Linked DNA regions of Sus scrofa. The protein of the gene in region 3 binds, or shares a complex with, the protein of the main gene of each other region. Links are inferred from orthologs where the notes say so. Each region holds a gene or a part of one and is shown on either strand. Other genes may lie near its edges.

The links. Proteins that work in one complex are often made in the same cells at the same time.
Region 1: the proteins of KCNAB2 (region 3) and KCNA3 are in contact, whole or in part, in a cryo-EM structure (PDB 7EJ2), measured with the Homo sapiens proteins. The link is inferred for Sus scrofa from reciprocal best matches to the Homo sapiens genes KCNAB2 and KCNA3. Residues at the interface, in NP_001186789.1 of Homo sapiens: Met196, Tyr199, Ser200, Arg203, Glu231, His234, Lys235, Ile236; in NP_002223.3 of Homo sapiens: Pro133, Met137, Phe140, Pro142, Leu143, Asn145, Tyr147.
Region 2: the proteins of KCNAB2 (region 3) and KCNA2 are in contact, whole or in part, in a crystal structure (PDB 5WIE), measured with the Rattus norvegicus proteins. The link is inferred for Sus scrofa from reciprocal best matches to the Homo sapiens genes KCNAB2 and KCNA2. Residues at the interface, in NP_059000.1 of Rattus norvegicus: Met193, Met196, Tyr199, Ser200, Arg203, Glu231, His234, Lys235, Ile236; in NP_037102.1 of Rattus norvegicus: Asp28, Glu33, Pro62, Met66, Phe69, Asp70, Pro71, Leu72, Arg73, Asn74, Tyr76.
Region 4: the proteins of KCNAB2 (region 3) and KCNA1 are in contact, whole or in part, in a crystal structure (PDB 1EXB), measured with the Rattus norvegicus proteins. The link is inferred for Sus scrofa from reciprocal best matches to the Homo sapiens genes KCNAB2 and KCNA1. Residues at the interface, in NP_059000.1 of Rattus norvegicus: Met196, Tyr199, Ser200, Arg203, Glu231, Lys235, Ile236; in NP_775118.1 of Rattus norvegicus: Glu37, Met70, Phe73, Asp74, Pro75, Leu76, Asn78, Tyr80.

What each region holds. Positions count from the first base shown.
Region 1 is NC_010446.5:109,493,750-109,498,019, reverse strand, and holds the start of KCNA3 (potassium voltage-gated channel subfamily A member 3), read right to left. Parts: upstream 2,801-4,270; 5' UTR 2,671-2,800; coding exon 904-2,670; 3' UTR 1-903.
Region 2 is NC_010446.5:109,556,667-109,560,772, reverse strand, and holds the start of KCNA2 (potassium voltage-gated channel subfamily A member 2), read right to left. Parts: upstream 2,801-4,106; 5' UTR 2,462-2,800; intron 2,018-2,461; 5' UTR 1,855-2,017; coding exon 355-1,854; 3' UTR 1-354. UniProt on the Homo sapiens protein: Voltage-gated potassium channel that mediates transmembrane potassium transport in excitable membranes, primarily in the brain and the central nervous system, but also in the cardiovascular system.
Region 3 is NC_010448.4:67,008,374-67,011,882, reverse strand, and holds part of KCNAB2 (voltage-gated potassium channel subunit beta-2), read right to left. Parts: intron 3,208-3,509; coding exon 3,122-3,207; intron 1,486-3,121; coding exon 1,365-1,485; intron 1,143-1,364; coding exon 1,048-1,142; intron 232-1,047; coding exon 111-231; intron 1-110.
Region 4 is NC_010447.5:65,563,081-65,567,043, forward strand, and holds the start of KCNA1 (potassium voltage-gated channel subfamily A member 1), read right to left. Parts: upstream 2,801-3,963; 5' UTR 1,478-2,800; intron 1,113-1,477; 5' UTR 578-1,112; coding exon 1-577. UniProt on the Homo sapiens protein: Voltage-gated potassium channel that mediates transmembrane potassium transport in excitable membranes, primarily in the brain and the central nervous system, but also in the kidney.

The sequences.
Region 1 (4,270 bases), on a different chromosome or scaffold from region 3:
TGCTATGGGAACTGCATCAGTCAGGTCCGAATTAGTAACTTCCGCTGGAAGGAGTGTCTGCCACTTTAATCTTCTTGTGATACTGCAGAAGCTTATCTCTCAGATGCATTAGGACATTTTTTTGTTTCTCTCAGCAGCACTGAAAACATCTGTTTCTAGACTTTGATGGATGTTAGCTGGAACACACACAGAATTTCACAGGAATCTCTTAGTCTAATTCTTTTGAAATGCTTAACAAGTCCCAAAGAATTAAACTAATTAGATCAGGACATCTTGGGCATTTCCCTTTGTTCAGAGTTGCAGAGATCCTTAAAATTCCAGGAGGGGGCGGGTTCCAAATAGAAATTCCGGGTGAAAACCAAATAAACTTACGGTGGGTTTACAAGTCACAGTTCCAATTAAGACTTTTCATCCACATATCCACAGTGTAGGCAACTGAACGAAATATTCAATAATGTTGGAAGTGTCCATCAAAAGAAAGCATCATTTATGTATGTGCTTGCTTTACTTAGTAAAGAAACAACTGCCTTTCGATTATGAGGTTAAACAGTTACTCTAACTGTTCTTTAGTTTCATTTCCTCCCAGGATGTACAGTTGTTTTTTTTTTTTTAACAGAGCGTGTGCTAAAAATCAAGTTTAAAGTAAGTTTGTCGTCCAAAATATTAAGAGAAGGAGAGGAAAGAAAAAGGGGGAGGGAGAGCGGAGAGAATGCAGCCCACTGGCAAAACAGACACCTGTTTCAGTATGAAGCAGTAGGGAGAAGGGAGAATGAAGAGTGCTTTCCACTTCTTCGTGTCCTTTCCTTGATGAATGGTCTGGAAATGTATAAAACAAGGGCATACACAGACCAAGGGGGCACGGTCCACACAATACCGAGCACAGCATGTCACTTGTTTTATATGTTAAACATCGGTGAATATCTTTTTGATGTTGACACAGGAGTTGGGATTATTGTTCGTGGTGCAAGTGGCCGTGGAATTGCCCGTTTTGAAGGGGGTCTGGGGGAAAGCGCTATGGTTCATACCCCCCTCTTCGATCACCATATACTCCGACTTACTCAGAGTGGAGTTACTCCTCGCTTTCCGGAGCTCCTCGGCTGAAGAGGAGAGGTGCTGGCAACTTCCCACGTGCATGTACTGGGCTTGCTCTTCCCCTTCCGTCTCCCGGTGATAGAAGTAATTGAAGTTGGAGACGATCACAGGGACTGGCAAAGCAATGGTCAAGACACCAGCGATGGCACAGAGTGACCCTACAATCTTGCCCCCTATGGTCACCGGGTGCATGTCACCGTAGCCTACCGTTGTCATGGTTACCACAGCCCACCAGAAGGCATCCGGGATACTGCTAAAACCTGAAGTGGGGTCGTCTGCCTCAGCAAAGTAGACCGCGCTGGAGAAAAGGATGACGCCGATGAAGAGGAAGAAGATGAGCAGCCCCAACTCCCGCATGGAAGCCTTCAGCGTCTGGCCCAGGATCTGCAGCCCCTTGGAGTGGCGCGAGAGCTTGAAGATGCGGAAGACCCGCACCAGCCGGATGACCCTCAGGATGGCCAGGGACATGGCTTGCTGTCCATTGCCCTGTCGCTCGGCCAGCTCGGTGCCCAGAGTGATGAAATACGGGATGATGGCCACGATGTCTATCAGGTTCATGATATTTCGCGAGAAGGTGGCTTTGCTGGGGCAGGCGAAGAACCGCACCAGCAGCTCAAAGGAGAACCAGATGATGCACAGGGTCTCCACCACGAAGAAGGGATCCGAGAAGCTGGAGTTCCCCGCGGGGGCCCCCGACGTGCTGTTGCTGCCCCCCTCAAACAGCTCCTGCGACGGCGAGGCGGTGTAGTACTTCTCGTCGCGGAACTCGGGCAGCGTCTCCAGGCAGAAGATGACGATGGAGATGAGGATGACGAGCACCGACACGATGGCGATGCCCCGGGCGGGTCCGGAGCTCTCCGGGTACTCGAAGAGCAGCCACACCTGGCGCTGGAAATCGCGGCGGGGCAGGGGCCGCTCCTCCTCCCGCAGGAAGCCCTCGTCCTCGCGGAACTTCTCCATGGCCTCCTCGCCCAGCTGGTAGAAGCGGATCTCCTCGGAGAAGATGTCGATGGGCACATTGACCGGCCGGCGGATGCGCCCCCCGGACTGATAGTAGTAGAGGATGGCGTCGAAGCTGGGCCGGTTGCGGTCGAAGAAGTACTCGTTGCGGAGCGGGTCGAAGTACCTCATGCGCCGCTTGGGGTCGCCCAGCAGCGTCTCCGGGAACTGGCAGAGGGTCTTGAGCTGCGTCTCGAAGCGCAGCCCGGAGATATTGATGACCACGCGCTCCCCGCAGCAGTCCTGCTCCCCGGCGGCCGGCAGCGCGGGCGGCAGCGGCTCGTAGCGGTCGCAGCCGCCGCCACCGCCGCAGCCGCCCTGAGGCGGGTCCCCGCCGCCGTCGGCGGCCTCAGGCTCCAGCAGGTGGTCCCCAGGCACCACCGTCATGTCGGGCGGCAGCTCGGGGCCCGCGGCGGGCTCGGCGTAGCCGGGGTTCACCAGCGTGTGGGCGTCGCCACCACCACCGCCGCCGCCGCCGCCGCCACCGCCGCGGCTCGCCGGGTGCTGCGGAGGGTGGGCGCGGTGGCGGGTTGAGGGCGGCGGCGGCGGCGAGCGCAGGAGGCTGAGGTGCTCGTCCATGCGGCGGGGAAGAGGCGGCGGCGCGGGACCAGCTCGCTCCTCCTCGCGCTCCCCGCCCCTTCGCCGCCTCCGCCCCTTGGCGAGCCCGCCGCCTGTTGCTGCGGCTGCAGCCGCCGCGAGGCTGGGTCTGAGTCTGGCGCGGGCCGGCGGGATGCTCCAAAGAGACGCCTCCTCAGCCCTCCCCGCCCTCCTCCTCCCTCCTCCTCCCTCCCTCCTCCCTCCTCCTCCCTCCCTCCTCCCTCCTCCTCCCTCCTCCTCTCCCCCGCGCCCTCCCCTCCGCCCTCTCCCCCCGCGGGCCGCGCTCCCGCCCCTCCGCGTCCCCTCCGGATTCCCGCCCACCGCACGGGCGCGCGCCCGGCTCCCAGGTAGCCGCTCGCCTCTGCCCCTCGCCGCCGCCCTCCCCGCCCCTCTGGGTCACCCTAGTGCCCCCATTTTGCATTTAAGGGTCCCCGCAGAGCCCGCACCCAGCCGAAGCGGCCCCGCCCCCCCGAGGCCGCGTCCGGGTCGCGAGCCTTCTCGATCGGCTCTGGGCTGCTTTGCAGCCCGCAGGCGCCGGCCTCCTCGCCCCGCACGCTCCACCTGGACCCGCCGCGGGAGCGGGGCTCCACAGGGCCCGGGTGGCCTAAGGCGGAGGCCTGCGAGGAGGGAGGACTTGGACGCGCTGTAGGACCGCAGCGCTTCTGACGGAAGGGGTGGCAAGCCAGGTGGGCGATCTGGGGAAAAGGCGAACCGGGTGCCAGCACCTTGTGCTCACTTGAGGGTGAAACACCGCCAGGATGGGAGGGCTGTAAATAATTGAACTCCTGTTTGGGTGAGAAGCCCAGCAGAATAATGTGGCTGCTGATGAGACTCGCACCCAGAGTCAGAAGAAGACGGTCATTAAAGACATTCAGAGACTTCGCTTCTACGGTGAATAGGTCTTACTACCTTTCATAGCTGAGGCTTCAGCCATTAGGAAGAATCAAGGACCAAGTTTCTGGTTAGATTAGTCGAGGGCAGCCCTGTCGGGGGGTGGGGGGAATAAGAGGAACATGAAAAAGGAAATTCACATCTTAAGTCTGTGATGGGACAGGAGCCAGACCGGTATTCTCTGATGTCCCAAGGCCGGCCTTGCCTCGTTGGAGAGAATTTGCCACTCTCTGGTTGTGAAACAGGGAGAACCCTCATTCTGCAGCTTGGAGCTCTTGCTTGATTTTGGCCTGGAGATAATGACTTACAGTTATCCCCTTTGAACAAAGTATTTCTTCAAAATGTTGCGGTCACTTTGAACATAATTTCTCTTTCCAGACGTTTTAGCAATGCCGTGTAGAGTCAACCCTAGGCTTAAAAAATGTGTTTTCCATTGTAGCATTCAAATCATTTTACAAAAGGGGGACTGTTGTATAGACAACTCCCTCACCAGTCATACTTTAGCTGACAATTTGACTTGAAGTGAGAGTGATTTGTGGCCACTGCTTCCACTCCCAACTCTCAGGTTCTCTAGGGCAGAGCCAGATCTTATCCAATTTATATTCCTAGCAATTCCCAACAAGCCTGATAAATAGTAGGAACTCAGTATACCCGTTTGTTGAATCAGATGCCCCAACAAGTGATTCTTTGT
Region 2 (4,106 bases), on a different chromosome or scaffold from region 3:
CGCATCGCCAGGATGCCGTGTGCATCTCTCTCCTTGGGAAGGAAAGGTGACACTGATGTGGTGGGCTCTGTGTTTGCTATGAGGTGGCCTCAATGTGTCCTTCTGAAATCCTGGCTCCATAGGTGATTCCCGTCTTTGGAACCCCCTAAGCCGGTGATGAAGATTTGCATGAAAGCCATGGATAGATATTCTGCGTTCTAAATCAAAAATCAAAAGATCGAAAGTCACTTGCACGACTATTGCTCTCCATGCAGAACCAGATACACACTGTGGAAACACACTGACTACAATGCAGGCTGTTATGCAATATCTGCATTAGTTCCTTTGAGCTGTGAGCACGTTGATAGGGTTCAATCAGACATCAGTTAACATTTTGGTAATATTCACATAGTTTGTATTAGCCAAAGTACAGTTGGCTGTTTTCAAGTTTTCCTCCCTAAAGTCCTCGTTACTGTTGTTTACCCCCTCCTGGATCTCCATGTAATCGGACTTACTAATGGTAGAGGCACTTCGACTTTTCTTTAGGTCAGGGGAGGATGGGATCTTTGGACAGCTCGTCACTTGCAAATACTGGGCCTGCTCCTCTCCCTCTGTCTCCCGGTGGTAGAAGTAGTTGAAATTGGACACTATGACAGGGACCGGTAAGGCAATGGTTAACACACCCGCAATTGCACACAGGGACCCCACGATCTTTCCCCCAATGGTGGTTGGAACCATGTCTCCATAGCCTACAGTTGTCATGGAGACGACTGCCCACCAGAAGGCATCCGGGATGCTGGGGAACTGGGACTCGCGCTCATCGGCCTCTGCGAAATAGACAGCACTAGAGAAGAGGATGACCCCGATGAAGAGGAAGAATATCAGGAGGCCCAGTTCTCTCATGCTGGCTTTGAGGGTCTGCCCTAGAATCTGGAGACCCTTGGAGTGTCTGGACAACTTGAAAATCCGAAAGACTCTTACCAACCGGATGACACGGAGGATGGCCAGCGACATGGCCTGCTGGCCCTGCTGAGCATCCTCTGGCTTCTCAGCCAGCTCTGTCCCCAGGGTGATGAAGTAGGGGATGATGGCCACGATGTCGATGATGTTCATGATGTTGGTGAAGAAGCCAGCCTTGCTGGGACAGGCGAAGAACCTCACCAAGAACTCAAAGGAGAACCAGATGATGCAGAGGGTCTCCACAATGAAGAAAGGGTCGGTGAAGGACGTAGACGGCTGGTAGCCGACGGTGCTGTTGGAGTAGGTGTGGAAGGTCACTCCGCTGCCGTGCATGTCTTCGTTCTCGTCCCGGAATATGGGCAGCGTCTCCAGGCAGAAGCTGACGATGGAGATCAAGATGACCATGACAGACACGATAGCTATAATCCTGGCCGGCCCTGAGCTCTCTGGGTACTCGAAGAGAAGCCACACCTGTCTCTGGAACTCGTTCTCCGGCAGAGGACGCTCTTCCTCTTTGATGTAGCCTTCATCTTCCCGAAACATCTCCATCGCTTCCTCGCCCAGCTCATAAAACCGGATTTCTTCGGAGAATATATCTAAGGGCACATTCACGGGGCGCCTCAGCCGCCCCCCAGACTGGTAGTAGTACAAGATGGCATCGAAGCTCGGGCGGTTCCGATCGAAAAAGTACTCGTTCCGGAGGGGGTCAAAGTATCTCATCCGCTTCTTTGGGTCCCCCAGCAGGGTCTCGGGGAACTGGGCTAAGGTCTTTAGCTGGGTCTCAAACCGCAGTCCCGAGATGTTGATAACCACCCTCTCGCAGCACTCGTGGTCTGCCTCTGGGTCATAGGTGTCCTGCGGGTGCCCAGGGAGGGCGGCCGCCTCGTCCGCTGGGTCTCCGGTGGCCACGGTCATAATTGGAACCGAGAGAAGCGCCTCTCCCTACGCCTTCTAGCTGCCTGGCGGCAGGGAGCTCAGGGTGCTGCTTATGGCCCCAGGAAACACAGCAGCATCGGCCTGGGCTCCTGCAGGAGAGCCCCGAGGGCTCTCTGGGAGCCGAAGGGACAGCCCCGCTTGGCTGAAAGACAGAGGCGGTTAAGGACATAAGACCACTCAGCACTGGCAGCCGGACCTGGGTTGCCGCTTTTTCAGCCAAAAGTTCAAAGACGTCACCCCCACCCCCACCCCCACGACAAAAAAGCAAGCTTTCCTTTCCCCTTTCAACCTGGCTGTGGATCAGAGGGGAGCAGGGGGCAATCTCTCAAGAAAGCTCTGGAATGCCCTGCACTGGGGGCAGGTGGCTGGTACAGGTCCCGCTGCACTACACAGGCTTTGAGGAGCACTGATTTCTCCCACACTAGAGGCTGGAAGGGAGGCCACTCCCAGGCACTGAACTAACATCTTGCAGATACCTGCACCCTGGAAGGTACGCACCGTGGCGGGTCTTGGGCCTGGGTCTCCCTCACTACCCCCATCCCAATGGCTCTGCACATGGCTGTTATTAAGCAATAGATTGCTTTACCTGGCAAGGCAGGAATCTGCAGCTGTCTTCCTCGCAGGGCTGATCTGATGCTGTGGGAATCCTAGATACACAAACAGGCAGCCCGACTCCCCATCACGTCTTCTCACTTGAGCTAGAAATAGTGGTGAGTCATTCTGGGCAGGAGGGCAGGCTCCAGGTCCTGGAGGTGAGCTCCAGGGCTGGGCTGGGCTGGAGGGGCCGTGGAGTGCCTGGCCAGGGGCATGTAGGACTTGAGGACAGCCTAGCTTGGGTCTGAAGCCTTTGGAAGGAAGGAGGCAAGATGCAATGCTCAGCAAAAGCCGGAGTCCTCCTGGCTGTCCTCAGGAGGTGTGACGTTGCCTGGAAAAAACAGCAGCAAGGTGGAACCGGGGCTCTGGGGCAGCTGGTGCCAAGATTTAGGAGGGCTCTGGTGGCTTCGCTTCCATGCCCACCTTCCATTCTGGTGTCACACCTGAGAACTATCCTCAGCCTCCCAGCCTCCTCTGGGCAGGCTTCCATTAGTTAGAAGCATTTTCTCCCGGGAAAAGAGCCTTCAGACTTGGCTGGGCCCGGTTCCTCCAGGGGCCTCCCCTGGCTGAGCCAGATTCCCCCATTGGTCCTCTGGGCAAAGCCCTCCCACCCCCAGGTCAGGACACAGCATCTCGCAGCGGGGAGGGCTTGCTACACTGCAGCCTGACTTCAAGCTCTGACCTCTGCAGAGTCCTAGAGGAAGGACCACACACCCCATCCTTTGCCCCCCAACATCACTCCTTCGGGGCTCAGGGAGACCCCTCACACAGAAAGGTCAGCCTCCAAAAGCTGGCTGGCTTGGTCCCAGGACTTACTCTCCCTCGGGGATTCCTGGGGGGCAGGCCTCCCTCCGGGAGGGGTGGCATTTGAACCGGGCAGGCGCTCGACCACCGATTTCTCCCCAAGAGAGAATCCCTCCCGTCTCCTTGGGCCGGGAGCGCAGAAGCAAGGCTCAGTCCGCCTGGCTGTGAGGCGGCTTGGCAGCAGCGAGCGGAGGAGCCGGGAGGCTCCGGGCTTCCGGGCTGGCCCCCTGCCGGCCCAATCCTGCCGGCCCTAGGGCGGGGAGGGGTCCCGGCCCTCTCCCCATCGCCCCGGGCTCCGGCCGGGATTCCGCCGGGCGCGCTCCGCGCGGGTGGACCAGACCCACCAGCTGGCCGCGGCAGCGAGCGCCACCTTAACCCCCTCCTGCCCGGTCCGGTGGGCTCTCGCTGCGGCCCGAGCGCAGCCCAGCTCTTTTTGCCCCTGGTGTCCCGCCGAGGGACCACCGAGGTTCGAGTTCCTTCCAAAAACCCTGGAGCCTGAACTCTGGGGGCGGGGAGCAGGCTGCTGCCCCCGATCTCAGCGTCCTTCTAAGAGCTGGGGCTCCGCGGCAGCCCACGGCCCCAGGAAGCGGAGAAGCCCTTCTCGGCCGCAAAGCCGTTTTAATTCCGAGCTGGAGAGGAGAAGGCAGCCCGGCGGTCCCAAGTGATTCGGGTCCTACCAACCGGCGCTATTTACCAGACATGGTTATGCTGTCAGCTGCACTTCCCATCACCCGCCAGCTCCTCTCTGCGCCCTCCGCCCCGCGCCCCGCACTGCCCGGAGGGTCCCCGAGCCCTTTCCCCGTTCTCTCCTTGCGCTGGGCGCCAGCCCCCAC
Region 3 (3,509 bases):
TCCCCACGAATGCGGGAGCCCAGGAGCCACGGCTGGCCGAGGGAGGGGGTGGCCCAGGTGCTCGAGGCCTCCTGACGTCCTCCTGGGGGAGCAGTCCCCAGCCCTGTTACCTATGGCCAGCTGCGGGAGGGTGCAGCCCAGGCGCTCGGCGATGGCCTGCAGCTCCTTCAGCTTGGCCTGCTGGCGCCGGCCCTCCTCACTCAGGATCTTGTCCTTCAGCCACTGGTAGCCCTGGTTGTGGGGTGGGGACAGAGCACAGCCCGCAGGTGAGGGCAGGTCACTGGGACCTCTGTGGGCAGATGGCGGATGATTTGTGCCCAGATGGCATGCCCTGACCCTGGCCTAACCAGGTCCTGTGGTGGAGCTGAGGCTGGGCCCCTGACGAGGACAAGGAGGTGGACAAGACGACCTTCCCTTCTCCAGGAGGCCTGGCAGCCCAGGAGGTGTGTCCACAGATCAGGGAGCCCCCGGGGGGCCTGCTGTGGTTGGGGGGAGCGGGTGGGGTGGGCTGTCCTGTCCTCGAACCTGGGCCTGGGGGCGCCAGTGCTGGCTCTGCCCTGGCCTGGTTGGCCTTTCTCAGCCTGCTCCTTTGGCACCAAACCCTGCCACCTGGAGGTCATCCAGAGGCCCCGCGCCTGAGGTGGGAGGGGCGGTCTTGTCCCGGATGGGGACCTCTGAGTGACAGTGAAGAAACTCCGCAGCCCCCAGCCCAGAGGCCTTGGGATGGGCCAGAGAGAGTGTGGGACTGACCACTTGGGGGAGGCATCTCAAATGGCCCTCGGGGACCCAGCCCAGACTGTTCACACTGAACCTGGGTGGAGGCCAGGGGGCCTGGGGAGGGAGGGGCTTCTTCCCTGGGGGATGTCCCACAGGTGGGCAGCCTTTCTAGATATGGGGGGGGGGGTCAGGCCAGCTGGGCCTCTAAGTTCTCATGCCTGCAACCCCCCGCACAAGTCCTGCCCGGCACCGGGGCATCTGTCCAGAGGGCCCAACCCTCGAAATGCCTGTCCCTCCCTGTGCCCTCCCCTGGCCCAGCTGCTCCTTCACCTTCAAGGAGGCTCTCGAGTAGGGCGGGATGCCACTGTCATACTTTCCAGAAACGATGCCGCAGGCCAGAGGGGACCAGGTCATGGCGCCCACTCCTGGGAGAGGAAAGGAAGACAAGGTCAGGCCCGGGACCCCAAGGAGGGCCGGGGAGAGGGGAACCCGGACGGGCTGAGGAGAGGGAGAGGGTGGGGCCAGGGCAGGGGCAGGGGTGGAGCGAGGTAGGGGGAGGGCCGGGGAAATGGGTGGGGCGAATGGAAGCGGAGAGCCGGGCGAGGGGCGGGGCGAGGTCGAGGGCGGGGCCGGACAGGGGAGCCCACCTATTTTGTGGAAGAGCTCTGGCAGCTGCACCTCCACCTTCTCGCGCTGGAACATGTGGTACTCGGCCTGCTCGCAGATGGGCGGGATCAGGTTGAACTGCCGGGCCACGGAGTAGGCCTCCTGTAGAAGGAGAGTGGTCCCTGCCCGTCAGCAGGTCTGGGGGGCCTCCCTGAAAGCAGGGAGAAAACACAAAGGCACCCCCAGGAGATGGCAGCCCCCATCCCCAAGCCGTTCTGGGAGCCTGTTAGGCTGCCCTCTCTGTGAGGCGTGAAAAGTGGGTGCATTGCGGGACCCCAAGGCTAAAGGGATTTGGGGGGAAAGCACAACTCAGGAGTGAGGCTTGGGTTCTGGCACTTATTGGCCAGGTGGTCTTGGGCAAGGGGCTCACCCCTCCGTGCCTCAGTTCCCCTTCTGTTCAAGAGGGTCAAATGAGCCAGCGGTGCTGGCAGCACTCAGGACAGTGCCTGCCCAATGTCCACGGTTTTAACATGATTGTCACTCTAGTGCCTGGACCCAGGATGATGGCAGTGGCAGAAAACCCTCGGTCAGGAGCAGGGAGTGGCTGGCCTCAGCCTGGTTCTGGGACTTGGAGCTCAAGGCCTCCACTCTGCAGACCAGATGGGCGTGGGCTCCCGGAAGCCCGTCTGCCAGCCCAAGAGGCCCTTTCCCCTTTGGTCTGAGACTCAGCTTTCACATCTGTAGAGTGGGGATAAGATGCTGAGCTTAGCGTGTTTTGTGCTGGCCCTGGGCAGCTTCAGAAAAATGACAAATTGATCATTAATGCCACAAACACCAAAGGCTGATTGATCCTGTGGCCTTCTAGAGTGGTATTTAACTGGAAATGAAAAACTTACTTAATATATTTTTTAAATGAATCGGAAATCGGGGCTCACTAGAGGAGAAACCCCTTCCCCAGGATGTCAGGACTTGGGAAATTCTGGGAGGTGGGCCATGGGAAGGGCTGAGGCTGGGAGAAAGCCTGGAGGCAGGGGTGAGGGGCTCAGCCTGAAAGACACAGTCCCCAGGCCCCTGCCTGCCCCCCACCAACCAGCTGCCTTGCCTGCCTCTGAGGAGCCACCCTGCTGACCCTTCTGAGAGACCCCAGAAATGTCATGAAACATCTGTCACCCTCAGCTTCTGATGGCTCCCGTGGAGGGAAATGACACGGAAAGGAGATGCTTTCTTGAAAGTGCTGGTGAGGGGGAAGCCCAGGCTCTGAGCTGTGTGACCCTGGGCATGTACTTAACCTCTCTGTGCCTCAGTGTCCACATCTGAAAACAGGATGAAAGCAGCACTCACCTCACACAGCGTTGTGAGGATTAAATGGGAGTTAGTTCACACGAAGCCCTCAAGTCCGAGGGCACTGGGAACATCGTGAGAGCTCAGCTGGCCCTGGCACCATGCTGAGTGCTGGCTGAACTCCAGGACCTCAGCTAAGAGCATCACACCTGTTCTCTCAGGTAATCCTCACAACGGCCTCTTGCGGGGCGGGTCGCCCCAGCAGTCCTGTTCTACAGGCAGGGAAACCGAAGCTCAGAGAGGTGAAGCCATCAGTCATGCAGTGCTGGGACTCAAGCCAAGGCTCCAGTCTGCAAAGCCTGCAGACCTCATTGTCACATGGCACCTTCCTGACGCTCCCCCAAGTACCCAGGTATCTGCGTGACACTGAGTCTGCCAGAGCCCCGGGGGTCTTCGTGCTCAGAGGGGGGGCCCGGGAGCCCAGCCCGTGGACGCACACACAAAGAGGTCGGCGTACCATGATCTCCATGGAGCTCCAGCGTGACGTGCCCCAATACATGGCCATCCCCTGGTTGATGACGTGGGTCATGGCGCGCACCGTCTCTGTCACGAGAGAAGGGGACACCGCAGGTGGAGGGGGCGGCCAGGAGCATGGGGCCCGGCCTGGGGACATTCTGCAAATACAGGCGGGCGCCGGGAGGGGACAGAGGGTGCTGCCAAGACGGCTTGCAAGCAGTGGGCTTCCTGGCTCCGGAGTCGGGGGTGGCAGGGGTTTTCTGGGACGACAGAAACAAGCGAGCTGCCAACCAAGAAGCTGGTCTTGAAAACCATGTCCCAAAATAGTTATAGGTCTTAAGGAGTCTTTGAAAAATGGGTTATGGATGGCTTGAGATGTTTCCATGGCA
Region 4 (3,963 bases), on a different chromosome or scaffold from region 3:
TCAGCTCGGGCAGCGTCTCCAGGCAAAAGATGACGATGGAGATGAGGATGACCATGACCGAGACGATGGCGATGACCCGGGCGGGCCCCGAGCTCTCGGGGTACTCGAAGAGCAGCCACACCTGGCGCTGGTACTCCTTCTCGGGCAGGGGGCGCTCCTCCTCCTTGATGAAGCCCTCGTCCTCCCGGAACTTCTCCATGGCCTCCTCACCCAGTTCGTAAAACTTGATCTCCTCGGAGAACATGTCCAGCGGCACGTTGACCGGCCTCCGCAGCCGGCCCCCGGACTGGTAGTAGTAGAGGATGGCGTCGAAGCTGGGCCGGTTGCGGTCGAAGAAGTACTCGTTCCTCAGGGGGTCGAAGTAGCGCATGCGTTTCTTAGGGTTGCCCAGCAGCGTGTTGGGGAACTGCGCCAGCGTCTTGAGCTGCGTCTCGAAGCGCAGCCCGGAGATGTTGATGACCACGCGCTCGCAGCACTCGTGGTCGTCGTGCTCGGCCGGCCGCGGGTAGCTGCCGTCCTGGGGGTGGCCTGGGGCGGCCGAAGCCTCGTCCACGTTCTCTCCCGACATCACCGTCATGGTGGAAGCCGGGGGCGGCGGCAGCGGCGGCGGCGGCGGCGGCGGGAGACCCGGGGCGGGCCTGGGGCGGGGAGGGGCGAGGGAGGCGGGGTGGGGGGGACCCGCGCGCCCCCCCCACCGGTGTGCGCGGCTCCCCTGCGCTCAGGGGGCGGGGCTTCCGAGCCAGCAGGTGGAGAGATCCGCCACTCCGCTCCTTGAGATGGTCCCCTCCACCCTGTCTGTTCCTCCGTTTGAAATCCCCCTTGCCTGACGCCCGGGAAGCAGCTTTCCGCCGGGGTGGGTGGGCGGTGGAGGCGGGGGGGGAGTTTCGTCCTGCTCCGAGTGCCTTAAGGCAAAGCCGTTCTAGCGGACCGGGCCATCGCTGAGAGGTCACCCTGGCCTCCCCTCCCCTCCGCGAGCCCTCCTGGGACCCGGTGCAGAGCCAGCTCAGCAGATCCCCTCGCCTGCCACCCCCTCTGCTTCTCCTCGGCTCTCCCCCCTCCTAGCCCTCTTCGCCTGCCGCCTTCTAAGCTCCCACCAGGGCAATCGATGGATGCTGCAGAGAAATAGAAAGTGATACGGGGGCAGAAGATCAGAAGCGTTCACATGGGACGGACCCACAGACACGGAAGAGCACAGACCTCTAGCTTGTTTCGAAAGCACGGGACTTTTGCTAGGGTGATCACATACACGCAGACAGATACACGCAGACACCCGAAAACCAAGTTTGGGGCTCGTCCATCCCACTTTCCTCACTGCCCAAGAGCCGATCTGCTTACAACTTCGTTAAACTAGAGATCGGGAAAGCGCCGAGAGACGCTGGGGGAGCTCCAGGTCCAGGCAGCATCCCCGCACCCCAGGCCTCCCCCACCCGTCACCCCAAGTCCCGCCGCTGCAGCCCCGAACTGAGGAGCCCCCTACCTGGCCGGCCGGCTTGGCGCAGGAGCGGTGCAGAGTCGGCGGAGAGCCCGAGTGGGAATGCGGCAGGTCGCCTTTGCGGTACCCGGGCGCGAGCCGCGGCCGCCGCAGCATCCGAGGGGCGCCGGGGCCAACGCGCCGCCCTTGCTCCTCGTCCTGGGTTCCTTCAGCTGACCAGTCGCTTTATTGGGCAGGTACGGCGAAAATGTCCATTCCCTACTCCCATTCTCACCCGCGGCCAGCAACCTGGAGACGCCGCTCTTTTTTGGGTGCGGGGAGTTCCGGAGGCTGTGGGGCGGAGAAGCGAAATGCCACCCTCTCTCGAGCTCTGAAGCAAATGACGATACGGAGCGCTCTCGCCCCCTCCCAACACAGCGGGAGCCCTTGATTCGATCCCGAAGGAGGCGAGCGAGCAAAAGCCTGGATCTACATGGCTCGCGTGTCCCTTCCGCTTTCCGCACCCCCACGCAGACCTCGCCGAGGCTACGCGGCGCTCCGGGAGCTGTTCCGAGCTCCGAGTGGGGCAGGGTGCGTGCGGCGCGGGTCCCCTCGGTCCATTTCTGGGCGCTGCAAGATCAGCAGAAACCTGAGAAAGCGCCCGGAATGCGGAGCAGCGATTGGCCCACCCGGGCGTGGGTTGGGGAGGGCGGGGGAGGGCGGGAGCGAGGAGGTAGATGGAAAAGCAGAGGGGAGGGGGGGCTTGGCAGAGGGAGGATGTCATTCAGTTCCCACCCTTGCCAGCACAGCTTTTTTCTTCTCCTGCCAGAAAAGCCGACCACCAGTTCTCCTTCCCCTGTGGTCCACAGCCCCGCACACACACGGTCCTCGGCCGCGACCTTCCCCGGGAATTTCACATTGGAAATGGGCAGGTCCGACGCAATGCAGGCGGTGGTGTTCCTGGCACAACTCCTCCTCGGATGGGCTTGCGTTTGTGCGGTCCCACAGTAATCTGCTCCTCTGCGCGCTGTCTTGCCCCTCCCGCGGGGGGGGGGGTTCTCTGCAGAGCGGACCCAGTCTGTCCCCGCTGGCCTCGGAGAGATGCGGACATGGGGTTGGGCTCTGCAGTTGAGGATCGCCAGGGTTTGTTCTCTGTCTCGCTACTGCGAGGCGGTGGTGTTAAATGTGTCCCTCTTTGACCTACAGGAGTTGAAGTTTTCTTGCCATCAGATTATTTTGAAATACTGAGAATGCGGCTTGTGGGAAACCAAAAGCTCCGTGGGCTCATGGACGTGTCTGCCAACTTGGGGCTAAGTGTCATGAATCTGAGAAGCAAGTTGCATGCCCACCTCCCACCTACGTCACTCCTCCCGAAGCCTCTTTTTCCGGCCTAATGCCTCCACTGGGCCACTTGCAAGTCTTGCCACTGCTTAGGGAAAGGGTCTGCACCCGGGCGCAGGGCAGCAAAAGCCGGGGGCGGCGTGCGCGGTGCACGGCGAGTGCGGCTCCAGCTGCGCCCGCAGAGGCGCTGCACCTTGGCGCCTGCAGCAGGAGAGCAGCCAGCCAGCAGCTCCGGTACTTCGACTGCTGCCGAGTCTCCAAGGAGGCTGCAAGAACCCAGAGTCGCAGCCGATTGGTTCCCCCGCTGCACTTGGACCACCCCTTCGCACCACCGCGACCGCGATGCCTCCCGCCTCCGCTACCCACCTCTTTAATCAAAGCCAAAGATTGCATCCTCCCCGCTCTATTGTGGCTAGAGGGAAGCGGGGGCCTCTGCGGGGTTGCCCAGGCAGCGCAACAATCCTGGGTACAGAACTAGCTAAGTCCCTCCTCCAGATTGCGACTCCCGCATTTCTTTCAGAAAAAAATAATAATAAGTATTTGTTCCCTCCACTCCTTCGGAGCCATATCCCAGCTTTTCTTTTTACAAACAATGAGTTACCTAAAACTCCTCCTTCCCCTAGGAAGGACTGCCCTTTCCCCACCTTCCACACACATATTCCTGGATCCCACTTACTCCATGCTCCCTTGCCTTCCTAGCCTACGGCTTTATTGAAGAAAAAAAGAAGCTAAGAAAGAAAAGAAATAAGAAGCTTTGCATTGAAATACTGTCAAGGCCCTTGTTTTGGTTGCTGCTGCTCCCCAGGCTATGCTGCTGCTATAGCTCTAACCCAAAATCGCTCTGCGGCCAGACGGGATAAATATTTTCTGACATGTCCCAGCAATATTGGGCTTCCAACCCTGCTCCTGTCCCTCCCTTTGCCCCCTTCCTTCTTTTAAATGTTTCTAAAACTGTCATCTCCCTAGCTTCACATGAGTGCGCTTGCCCCCAATTCAGCATTGGGAGGTCACCTTACAGAAGAGATTTACAGACTGGATGAGATCCCAGGTTCCTCAATTCAACGTTTTATTAAGAGGGCATAGTAAGATCAGGAAGTTTTCAACATCCCTGGAGGATGTCTTTAGAACAGGACTGGACCTCCAAGGAATTGGAAGAGAGTTGCTGAGCTGAGCTAGGAATTCATCATTCTTGATGCAAATGAGAGTCTGGA